2 linked regions of the Anolis sagrei genome follow. The protein of the gene in region 2 purifies or fractionates together with the protein of the main gene of each other region. This does not show direct contact. Links are inferred from orthologs where the notes say so. Each region holds a gene or a part of one and is shown on either strand. Other genes may lie near its edges.

Region 1 (6,103 bases), on a different chromosome or scaffold from region 2:
AGGGCAGACAAAGGGGAGGGGAAGAGGGCGAGATATATTCCAGAAACTTCCGGAATGTCGTCGCCTCGAGAACTGGGGCAGCCTACTCTCGCGATACTTCTGCCCAAACGCAATGGTTCACTCCAGGATGTGCCCACAGACTTTAAAACATGCAGAGTGACGCGCCTCTCTTTGCACAGAAAGTCTAAAAGCAGGAAAGCAGGAAATACATTTTGAAACATATTATATCTATTCATTATACATCTCTATATAATAATTCTATAGTGTTTCCTGCAACAACATTTTGGATCCTCTCAATATACACAATATATTAATATATTGAAATAATAACATAGTAATGTAATAATACTAATATATATATAGTATTACTAATGTTGTAATATAATACATTACATATTATATATAATACAACTCATGTTATAATACAGTATGTTATATAATACTAATAGTAAAACATACTGGTAGTGTATTATATATAATTGTTGGTATAATAATATAGTACAGTTTAATAATATGTAATAATTGTGTTTTATATATTACATATAATATTACGTATTATCTCATATCGAAAGCATTGCATAAATTAGTATAAAACTGATACAAACTGATAAAAATAGAAGGAGAGGAAGCAGCTAAATATCTTTTGACCAAAAACGGGCAACAGCAACAGCATTGTCCAACAATTCTTCCTCTGTAAATGAGGCAGGGCATAGTGGACAAGCATACAAATGCATATAGAGTTCTGCTCCACAGTCACACATTTAGGTAGTGGTGTTTTGCCAGGTTGTCTTGATCTGTCCATTACACTGTTCAGAGACTTCCAAGTTGTCCACTCTATAGAGTTGTCTGTTCTGCCGACAGATGGCTATCCAGCCTCTGTTTAAAAGCCTCCAAAGAAGGAGCCTCCACCACACTCCAGGGCAGAGAGTTCCACTGCTGAACAGCTCTCACAGTCAGGAAGTTTTTCCTAATGTTCAGATGGAATCTCCTTTCTTGTATTTTGAAGCCATTGTTCCACGTCCTAGTCTCCAGGTCAGCAGAAAGCAAGCTTGCCCCCTCCTCCCTATGACTTCCCCTCACATATTTATAACATGGCTATCATGTCTCCTCTCAGCCTTCTCTTCCTCAGGCTAAATATGACCAGCTCTTTAAGCTGCTCCTCACAGGGCTTGTTCTCCAGACCCTTGCCCTCCTCTGACCACATTCCAGCTTGTTAACATCTCCCTTCACTTGTGGTGCCCAGAACTAGACACAGTATTCCAGGTTTGGTCTAACCGAGGCAGAATAGAGGGGAAGCATGACTTCCCTGGATCTAGACACTAGACTCGAATTGATGCAGTCCAAAATTGGCTTTTTTTGCTGCCACATCACATTTTTGTTGTCACAACTTGTTGTCCACGAGGACTCCAAGATCTTTTTCACATGTACTGCTCTCGAGCCATAATATTACAATATTATTATTATATATTATATTTTATTATTATTAGTATTATATTACATTACATTAAAATATTAGTAATATATGTATATACAATACATTATATTATTAGCATAGTACAATATTAGTATTATATATTATTATATTGTACCATACTACTATACTGGAATATAATTAGTAATATTATGTATAATATATAACATATAATAATTATATTATTATATATTATTATCTTGTATTGTAGTATTATACCACAACACATATACCACCAGTATATTATACTATTAGTATTAAATAATGTATTGTATTATATCATAAATTGTAGTATATATAATATATATTATATTACAACATTATTCATTATATATATATTAGTGTTATTATATTACTATTATTTACTATTGTATTACAATAGAATAATATTGCAGTATAATAACATTAATATATTATTAAAATATTTCAAAATTATAATATTATAATATTATTGATATCAATATATAAATAAGAATTTAATGTTTGTTTGTGGGATTAACATAACTCAAAACCCACTGGACAAATTGACACCAAATTTGGATACAATACACCTATCAAGTCAATGAGTGACCATCTATATAAATAAACATGTAATGTTAGTTTGTGGGATTAACATAACTCAAAACCCACTGGACGAATTGAGACCAAATTTGGACACAAGACACCTATCAGGCCAACAAAAACTGAAAAACACAGCAGAAGAGACTTAAAAAACCAAAAAACAAAAAATACATTACAACACATGCACAAAACCTCATATATACACAAACACACACGCATATATATAAAATGTGGGTGGGGATTAAGAGTTTTCATGTATGTATGTGTCAGAAGATATTTCCCTTTTTTTCTGTCTGTTTCCTGAAACTCAGAATTTCCCACTTTGAGACACATCAAGGAAGAGTGAACCTGGAATTTTCACAATGACGTCTCACTCTTCCCTTTGTTTATAGTAGATCTATGGTTAAGGGGGGGGCGGAGCTTACGGCGGTTGAATCGGCCGCTTCCGGCGCGTGACGCACTTCCTCTCCGCGGCCCTCAAAGCAGAGAGGGACGGTCGTTGCCGTCAGTCACGGTTTGTCTTCGTTGTTGTTGCCGCCGCTCAGCGAAGGCAAGTAGGCCGCGAGGGGAGAGGGAAGGATAAGCAGAACGACGCCGAAAGGGAATCTTGCGGTGAGTGTCTGTTTTCTCGGGCGGGGAAGCGAGTCGGCCTTTTCCCATCTCCCTGAACCTTTGGGTCCTTCTGATTGGCTGAGGGGCACTGCAGGGGGCGGGAGGGGGGCACCAAAGCTGATTCCCTATTTGCTGCTGGGGGCGTCGCTTTCCCCTCGTGACGCGCTTGTCGTCAGGCAGATTTCCTTCCTCTGTTCAGGTCCCTTATTCCCCCTCCTATGGTGAGCCTGGGCTGTAGTATCTGAACTCCAGATTTAAACAGAGGTTGGCATTAAGGCGTTTGATAAACTCTTTAATTTAATTGACTAGGCTTCCTCCCTCTTATTGATAGATGGTGGTGGGATATAAATAAAGTTTATTATTATTATTTATGCTAATATGTGGCATTAGCATAAATGAATATAATAAGGTTTTCTTAGACGAGGAATGCTCACAGTTGGTTTGTTAAAGTAATCTGTATTGCCTGATACTCGTTGACAGCCCTTCTGAACTCTGGAAAGGTTCATATTTTGGAGCTGCCACTCCCAGAATCCCCCCAATCAGCTATTTTATGGAAGCGACGGCCCCAAAAGACAACTTTCCCACATACTATGGTCTTCCAGGTGTTTGAACTCCAGTTCCCACAATCCCTGGTCGCAGGTTCGAATCCGGGGAGAGGCGGATGAGCTCCCTCTATCAACTCCAGCAACATTAGAACCTAACATCAATAAATTAAACCAGTCATAATCAAATAAGAATTGTACAATGATGTAAAATCTGAACATAAAACATTCAAGGAGCCCCCGGGGTGCAGATTCAGAAAATTGCATTGGATAGACCACATCAGCTCTAGTTTCTGATACAGAACATACTCCATCCAGTAGTCACCATCTGCTCACCCACAGAAAATGGAGCCCCCAGTGGCGCAGTGGGTTAAAGCCCTGCGCCGACAGGACTGAAGACTGACAGGTCGCAGGTTCGAATCCGGGGAGAGGCGGATGAGCTCCCTCTGTCAACTCCAGCTCCTCATGCGGGGACATGAGAGAAGCCTCCCACAAGGATGATAAAAACATCAAATCATCCGGGTGTCCCCTGGGCAACGTCCTTGCAGACGGCCAATTCTCTCACACCAGAGGCAACTTGCAGTTTGTCAAGTTGCTCCTGACACGACAAAAAATAAATAAATCCCTGATCATTTGCCAGGGCAGCTGAGGCTTCTGGGAGTTGAGGAAGAAGAAGAGTGAATAGTTTTGGATTGTTTTCAGGGATTTTCATTGACTGGTTTGTTCAATTCTATTTTAATATGTTATTTATTTGTTTTATCTGAGTTGATTTTTACCCCGCTTTTCTCCCACACCAAGACTCAAAGCAGCTATCAATACAATAAGAAACTTAACAAAGTAAAAATGAAAGATTTAAACCTGATAAATTCCTTATAGCAACCTGATTATCTAAAACTGTCAGTGATAAGGCCCTATTTACAAATACAATATAAATATTTAAAACCTTTAATTAACCATATTGAGAGCTTAATTCCCATATCCTTTAATCTAGAGCAGACATAGGCAAATTTCATCCCTCTCGGTGTTTTGGATTTCAACTCCTACAATTCCTAACAGCTAAAAGTTTGCCCATGCCTGCTCTAGAGACCATCTACAATTTTAATTTCCCTTAAAGACCTGTTCAAACATAAAGATTTTCACTCCTTTCCTAAATGATAAAAGAGTAGGGCAGCTCTGATTTCTCTAGGAAGGGCGTTCCACAAAGCTGGGGACTTCCCAGAAAAGGTCCTCTCTCGAGTAGCTTTAAGCAGCATTTGGGATGGGTGTAGAGGTGTCAGCAGTCCCCGCCCCCACCCACACTCGATTGAAGTTGCCTTTCAGGTACATAGTAGGAGATATACTTGGATTTTAAATGCTTTTTTTTTCTTTTTTGAGTCGTTTTGCATCTCATTTGAGATAAAACCAGGATATAGATATAACAAAATGATATTGATGATAGTGTTCAAAACACCTGGAGAACTAGAGCCTGGGATTCACTGGGCTAGATATTTTCCTTTAATGGCTTTATAAACTGGTGTCAAAAAAGGGGAAACTTCAGAAGTCCAAAATCTGGCTCGAAAAAGGAGGAAAATATAGCAGTAGCTAAGTGGTGATACATCAGAATTGTGAAATTCTTGACGAATAAATTTATATTTTAAAAATTACACAAAAAATAATGGCAGAGGATTATTGGTGAGAATAGGAGCACCAATGCTCATTTGGAGACCTCCCACAGGAACGCCCACTCTTCAGCATCACTAACGGGCAAATCTGAAAGATCCTATCATACATTAAATTAAGCACATTCAGCCGTTTCTATAAGATAATTGCTCCCCAACTCCATAAATCTCCATTTCTACACACTTTTGAAACAGTTTACAGATAAGAGTCCCATGTCTGACCATGGTGCTTCATGTCAATTATGACCCTATGAATTTCATAGGATTTTCTTAGATTTGCTGTTTTTGTTGTTATTGTTAAAATTTACCAGTTAAAACCTATTAATATGCCTAAAATGTTACACAACAGTTCTTGATATTCATTACCAGGCCTTCTGGGCTTGGGAAAGGTTCATCCTTTTGGACTGCCACTCCCAGAATACCCCATCCAGCTATTTTTTGTTGACTGGGGGATTCTGGGAGTCACAGTCCAAAAAGGCACCTTACCCATTTGCTGTGGAAGTGTTTTGGGGAAAATGAACCAAGTCCAGATCGTGTGTATGTGTGTGCATCTTCGAGTCGTCTGTTCACTTATTATGACCACATGAATTTCAGAGGGTTTTCTATGGCAAGGAATACCCAGTTTTCCAGTTTTTTCTTCCAAAATAGTAACCAGGGCTGAGTTTGCTTAGCTTCCAAGATGAGACAGGAGTTTGGGTCATTTTGTATTTAGACAATAGTCTTCTATTAATATACTTTCACATGTGCTGTAGTGTATTAGGTTGTTAGGAGTTAGGGTTTTTGGGGGGGGGGGGGGTTGTCTCTTTTTCTTTGCACAATCCAGACAAACAGGAAGACCTTCAGCCTCAGGAGAGGAAGTACTAGAACTGGAAGAATTGCACCCCTTGGCTCTGTTGGTAGGCAGGTTAATTTGACTTCTTCAGGAAGACAACAAGGAGTTAATTTTCTAGAGCAGAAGTAGAGGGACGGGCTAGTCTTGGAGTGAAAAGAGGTGGAATGGAAGAGGAAATTTTGTACTTGTTTAGGAGGAGCTCAGAGCTGTTTCAGAATGTTAGGCCTTAGAATATGAAAGACAGTGCTTCTCATGAAAGGCAAGCGTTTTCTTACATATTATTATTATTATTTGGGGAGTGCTGCGGTGGACCCCTTGTGGCTTATTAATGTGTTACTTGTAGAGTGCTAGATTGCTGATAATTTGTTCCCGTCAAATGCCTTCGCCATTTACTTTTTCCTTGGTTTTTCACCCATTTTTAAATTTT
Region 2 (6,103 bases):
GGGACAGGAAGGAAAAAAACCAAGTTGGGCCCCATCTGCATTGAGAACTGAATGCCATTTCGAACCGGTCTTGAAGAGAGAGTTTGTGCAGGAGAAGCATACATAGCAGGCATGGGCAAACTTTGGTCTTGGAATTCAACTCCTACCATTCCTAACAGCCTTTCCTGTTCCCCTTCAGCCACTTAAGCCTCCAAGGGTTTTGGACTTCAAGTCCCACCATTCTGAACAGCCTCAGGCTCTTTCCTTTTCCCCTTCAGTTACTTAAGCCTCCAGGTGTTTTGGACTTCAACTCCCACCATTCCTAACTGCCTTAGGCCCTTACCTTTTCCCTCTCAGTCGCTTAAGCCTAGGTGTTTTGGGACTTCAACTCCCACCATTCCTAAGAGCCTCAGGCCCTTGTCTGATTCCTCTCAGCCGCTGAAGCCTCGACTCCCACCATTCCTAACAGCCTCAGGCCCTTGTCTTTTCCCTCTCCACCGCTTAAGCCTCCAGGTGTTTTGGACTTCAACGCCCACCATTCCTAACAGCCTCAGGCCCTTGTCTTTTCTCCCTCAGCCGCTTAAGCCTCCAGGTGTTTTGGAACTTCAACTCCCACCATTCCAAAAAGACTCAGGCCCTTTCCTTTTCTCCCTCAGCCGCTTTAAGCCTCCAGATGTTTTGGACCTCAACTCCCACCATTCCTAACAGGCTTAGGCCCTTTCCTTTCCCCTCCTCAGCCGCTGAAGTTTCCAGGGGTTTTGGACTTCAACTCCCACCATTCCTGACGGCCTCAGGCCCTTTCATTTTCTCTTCAGCCGCTTAAACCTCCAGGTGTTTTGGACTTCAATTCCCACCATTCCTAAGAACCTCAGGCCCCTACCTTTTCCCCCTCGGCCGTTGAAGGGGAACTTCAACTCCCACCATTCCTAAGAGCCTCAGGAAAGGTTCTCAAGAAAGGACCTGAGGTTCTTAGAAATGGTGGGAGTTGGAAGTCCGAAACCCTGGAGGGAAGGCTCAAGTTTGCCCATGCCTGATACATAGGAAGCAGTCTGATGACACCAAGCACTGAGTGAGTGGGGCGTTGGAACCTGGGAAAGGAAGGAAGGAAGGAAAGAAGGAAGGAAGGATAGGGAAATAAAACAAACATATTTTGGGTCAGGGGAAAAAAAACCCATCTGCATTGACCACTGAATGCCACTTCGAACCGGTCTTGAAGGAAGAGTTTCCCTGTGCAGGTGAAGCAGACCTAGGAAAGGAGTTGGATGACACCAAAGTGGGGGCGCATTCATTCCCTGGCCAGTGGAGACGGGGCCTTGGCCCGACGGCTGGAGAGAGAGGGGGAGGGAGAGCTCCCTCTATTTCTCTCCCTCTCTTCCTCTCTCTAGACCCCCTCCCCTCCCTCCCCTCCCCGGCGAGTCTTTGGGGCCCTGTCCAGTTCCTTCTCTGTACAAAAATAGCGGGGCGGAGGCGCGGGGAAGGAGTTCACGGAGAGTCTGCACCCCGCTTGGTCCGTCCATCCGTCCGCCCCGGGAGGGGAGCGTGGGGGTGGGTGGGTGAGTGGGGGGCATGGGAGGCTCACATGTGGGAGAGCGGGAGCGTGCCGTTGAGGGCGGCCCCGGGCCCCCCGGCGCCCTGGTAGTGGGGCCCCAGGTGGAGTCTGCTGGCGCTGCCGGGCTCGGGCGCCTCGGCGGCGGGGAGGTACATGCTGATCATGTCCCGGAGGTCCCCGGCCTGGCAGGGGGCGCGCGCGTGGGCGGAGGCGCTGCCCACGGGGGGGCTGGAGGAGCTGGCCTCGCTCTTGACCACGGGCCCCATGGCGGAGAGCGGCATGGCCCCGGGGGGCGCGGAGGAGCCGCCTTGCTGGGCGTAGGAGGCGGCGGTGGGCATGGCGCCGTAGCCCGGCGAGCCGTTCATGTAGGGCTGGGCGCCGTACTGCTGGAGGGCGCTCACGTCGTAGCGGTGCATGGGCTGCATCTGCGCGGCGGCGGCGGCGGCGGCGGCGTGGGCGTTGAGCCCCGGGTGCTGCGAGTAGCCCAGCTGCTCCTGCATCATCCCGTAGCCGCCGTTGGACCAGCCGTTCATGTGCGCCGCGTAGCCGTCCATGCGCTGCTGGGCGCACCCGCCGGGCCCCAGCGCCGAGCCCGCGACGCCCACCCCGCCGCCCAGCCCGCCCGAGCCCGCCGCCGCCGCCAGCAGCCCGCCCGGCAGCGTGTACTTGTCCTTCTTGAGCAGCGTCTTGGTCTTCCGCCGCGGGCGGTATTTATAATCCGGGTGCTCCTTCATGTGCAGGGCGCGCAGCCGCTTGGCCTCGTCGATGAAGGGCCGCTTCTCCGCCTCCGAGAGCAGCTTCCACTCCGCGCCCAGCCGCTTGGAGATCTCCGAGTTGTGCATCTTGGGGTTCTCCTGCGCCATCTTCCGCCGCTGCCCGCGGGACCACACCATGAAGGCGTTCATGGGGCGCTTCACCCGGTCCGGGCTGTTCTTCTGGCTGTTGGCGCCGCCGGACACGCCGTTGTTCCCGCCGCCGCCACCGCCGCCCGCCGTGGCCGTCGCCTGCGGGGCCGCGGCCTTCAGCTCCGTCTCCATCATGTTGTACATGGCGGCCAAGGGGAGAAGAGGCCCAACACCCCAAGGAGGGGAACGACGAGGAGGGGAAGCGGGCAGAGGGGCAGCCAAGCACACAGTCAAGGAAGGAAGCCCACAAGGCAGGAAAAGTCAGAAGTCGGGCTGCTGGGGAGGGAGGGTCGGAGGGAGGGAAGGAGAGGCTGCCCCCCCAAGCAGCAGAGCCTCCCTTCACCGACCAGCCTCTTCCTCTTCTCTTCCTCTTCCTCTCTCTCTCTCTGCCAACAGCGGCCTTCCTTCCTTCCTTCTTTCCTTCCTTCCTTCCTTCTTCGGGTGGCTACTCTCAGGCTACTCCAGGAGAATCATAACAAAGGCGCCTGGGAGAAAGTCCTGCTGGAGAAAACTTCTTCTTCTTCCGTCTCCCCTATTCTTTCTCTTCACTCGGCGCCCCCTTTTTTTCCTTCCTTCCTTCCTTTCCTTCTTTCTTTCTTCCTTTCTTTCTTTCGGGAGCTCTTAAGTCTTAAAGAGCCCGCAAAGGGAGGAAAATGGGGGGGAAAAGTCTCTGTTTCCCCCTGTTTTGTTTTGTTTTGTTTTCTTTCTTTCTTCCCAAACTCTTTCTTTCTTTCTCTCTCTCTCTCTCCTCGCCTTTCTCTCTCTCTCTCTCTCTCTCTCTCTCTGCCTTGACAACTCCTGATACTTTTTTGAACAAGTTAATAGACAACCATCCATGTGATGGGGGGCTTGTCAGGGAATAAATGCCTTCGCCTCGGCCAATCAGAGCTCGCCCGGCTCCTCCACTGAGCGCCGGCCTCGGATGGGAGTTTTGCATGAAAGGGGGCGGGGCTTCTCTCACTCACTCACTGCTCCCCCCCCCCCCCCCATACACACACACACTAGTATCCAGCCGTGAGCGGCTTCAGGGCGGGGAGGCGGGACATGGAGGCTGCCACTCAAAAGGGCCCCTCCGAGCTCCTCTTTGCAAAGCAACAGGTCACACACACGCCTCGGGGAGGGAGGGGGGAAGGAGGGAGCGCGCAAACGGCCGTGTGGACGCGTTCAACAACAACAACAACAAACAACGGCAACGGCTTCACTTGAGTGCGGGCTAGAGAGGAGGAAAGGGAGGTTGCCCCTTGGCTCCCCCCTACTCTTCTCTTTTAAGCCAGGCCCAGAGAGGGAGGGAGCCTTCTTGGCCCCACTTCTCCCTGTGGACGCGCGTGGGCTCTTCCACCCTCCGCGGTTGTTGGGCTTTTCTTCCCAGGCTGAAAGCAGCAAGTGAGAGCTCCACAACCCACTTGCCTTGCTGCTTTCAGCCTGGAAAGAAAGGCCTCGGGCCCACCCCAAACCTGCCCTGGCCTTCTCAGACAAGGGTCCCTTGGCAAGAAGGAAACTCTCTCCTTGGCTTTTGTCCCAAACTCTCAGCTCAGCCAGGGAGACCCGTGGTCCACCCTACTGGTTCTCACTGAGCTTCCTAAAAAGGCTTCTTGAGGACCTGGTTGTTAGCAGAATAGTCCCTGGGAAGTCAACCTGGAAAGAAAGGCCTCGGGTTCACCTCAAACCTGCCCTGACTTCTCAGACAAGGGTCCCTTGGCAAGAAGGAAACTCTCTCCATGGTTTTTGCCCCAAACTCTCAGATCAGCGGAGGAGACCCTTGGTCCACCCTCCTGGTCTCCACTGGGCTTCTTAAAAGGCCCTCTTGAGGACCTGTTTGTTAGCAGAACAGTCCCTGGGAAGTCAACCTGGAAAGAAAGGCCTCAGGCCCACCCCAAACCTGCCCTGGCCTTCTCAGACAAGTGTCCCTTGGCAAGAAGGAAACTCTCTCCTTGGCTATTGCCTCAAACTTTCAGCTCAGCGAGAAGATCCTTGGTCCATCCTCCTAGTCCTCACCGGGCTTCTTAAAAGGACCTGATGTTAGCAGAACAGTCCCTGGGAAGTCAACCATAAGAGGGGCAGATGCCACCAAGCCTCCTCTTCTTCCCAAACTGGGCCTCCTCAACCAGTTTAGGGATAGCCTTTCCTCCAGATTATCACACAGCCCTCCATGAAATAATTAAAAGCCTTTCTCTACCCCCTTCAACATTTTCTTCCTCACATGGAGGAGGGATTCAGTGCAAACACACACACACACAGATACCATCTCAGTGCTTCAGAGTCACAGAATCTCCTTTTTTCCAGCCAGAAACCCTTCCAGCTCCAGCAACCTCCTCCCTTCACATTTCCCCCAACTATTTAAAAAAAGTATTTTAAAAAGGTGCCATTATTTCCCTCCTCAAACAGCCCTAGGAAGCAGGTGCACAGGTCCAAGAACAAGTAGGCTTTTAAAAGAAAGAGGTTCTGGAGAGGGAGCCAGGGGGGTAGCTGCAAGGCATGGGATTATTTTAGCACTCATTAAGTCTTTTAAAGAATTTTAATCGATTTGGTTGTTTAATTCTATTTTAATACTTGTATGTTAAAGATATGAAATAGCACTTTTTAAAAAAAATGTTGTGAACCACTTTCCACCCCAATCTAGAGACAAAGGCAGGATACTAATAATAATTATGGTGATAATAATAAATAACAAGGAGAAGAGGGGGCACAGGCACACACATCCATGTTCCCTCCCTGAGCCCTTGTTTTTGGGGGTGAAGAGAGGTAGGAGCCAGGAAAGGCGAGGAGGCAGAGGAACTCTTCTATTCTGTGGATTATTGCTAGATATTAGACATACAGCTCAGGGTGCATTTACAGTAGGCACGGGCAAACTTGGCCCCTCCAGGTGTTTTGGACTTCAACTCCCACCATTCCTAACAGCCTCAGGCTTCCTTTCCCCCCTCAGCCCTTGTGCCGGCAGGACTGAAGACCGACAGGTCAGAGGTTCGAATCTGGGGAGAGGGTGGATGAGCTCCCTCTGTCAGCTCCAGCTCCCCGTGCGGGGACATGAGAAAAACTTCCCACAAGAATGGTAAAACATCAGAATATCCTGGCGCCCCCTGGGCAATGTCCTTGCAGACGGCCAATTTTCTCACATCAGAAGCGACTTGTAGTTTCCCAAGTTGCTCCTGACACAAAAAAAAAGTCCTGAAAAATTCGGCAATCACTAGTGGCTTTCAGTTTTGTTGCAAATTCGGGGGAAAGGGTCCCACTCTTCTGCCCTTATTTTTCACTTATTTAAAATTTTCCAAGCAGATGCTGCCAGCCACATTTGTGTTTTGGGAAGGGCGGGCGAGTGAGGAAAGACCCCGCAAGCCCACCTGCTCAAAAAGCACCCCCTTACCCCTGAGTAACGAAGCCAGGATGTTTCCCCCCCCCCCCTTTCCTTCCTCGGTCCGTTAGTCCTGCTTTAATGTATTGTCGGAGGGTTTCATGGACGGAATCACTTAGTTGTTGTGAGTTTTCCGGACTGTTTGGCCATGTTCCAGAAGCATTATCTCCTGACCTTTCGCTTGCATCTATGGCGGGCGAAACGTCACGACCTCTGGGGATGCCTGCCATAGATGCAGGCGAAAAGTCAGGAGAGAATGCTTCTGGAACATAGCCAGACAGCCCGGAAAACTCACAACAACCCAGGCCCCTTCTACACAGC

What was found. The genes of interacting proteins can lie anywhere in the genome.
Region 1: the proteins of SOX2 (region 2) and DNAJB6 purify together in Homo sapiens (affinity purification with mass spectrometry; 3 studies listed by BioGRID and IntAct, with this or other methods). This does not show direct contact. The link is inferred for Anolis sagrei from reciprocal best matches to the Homo sapiens genes SOX2 and DNAJB6.

The regions. Positions count from the first base shown.
Region 1 is NC_090026.1:119,107,025-119,113,127, reverse strand, and holds the start of DNAJB6 (dnaJ homolog subfamily B member 6), read left to right. Parts: upstream 1-2,471; 5' UTR 2,472-2,644; intron 2,645-5,846; exon of another isoform or gene 5,847-5,935; intron 5,936-6,103. UniProt on the Homo sapiens protein: Has a stimulatory effect on the ATPase activity of HSP70 in a dose-dependent and time-dependent manner and hence acts as a co-chaperone of HSP70. Plays an indispensable role in the organization of KRT8/KRT18 filaments.
Region 2 is NC_090023.1:258,758,679-258,764,781, reverse strand, and holds SOX2 (transcription factor SOX-2), read right to left. Parts: upstream 3,340-6,103; 5' UTR 2,578-3,339; coding exon 1,555-2,577; 3' UTR 1,493-1,554; downstream 1-1,492. UniProt on the Homo sapiens protein: Transcription factor that forms a trimeric complex with OCT4 on DNA and controls the expression of a number of genes involved in embryonic development such as YES1, FGF4, UTF1 and ZFP206. Binds to the proximal enhancer region of NANOG.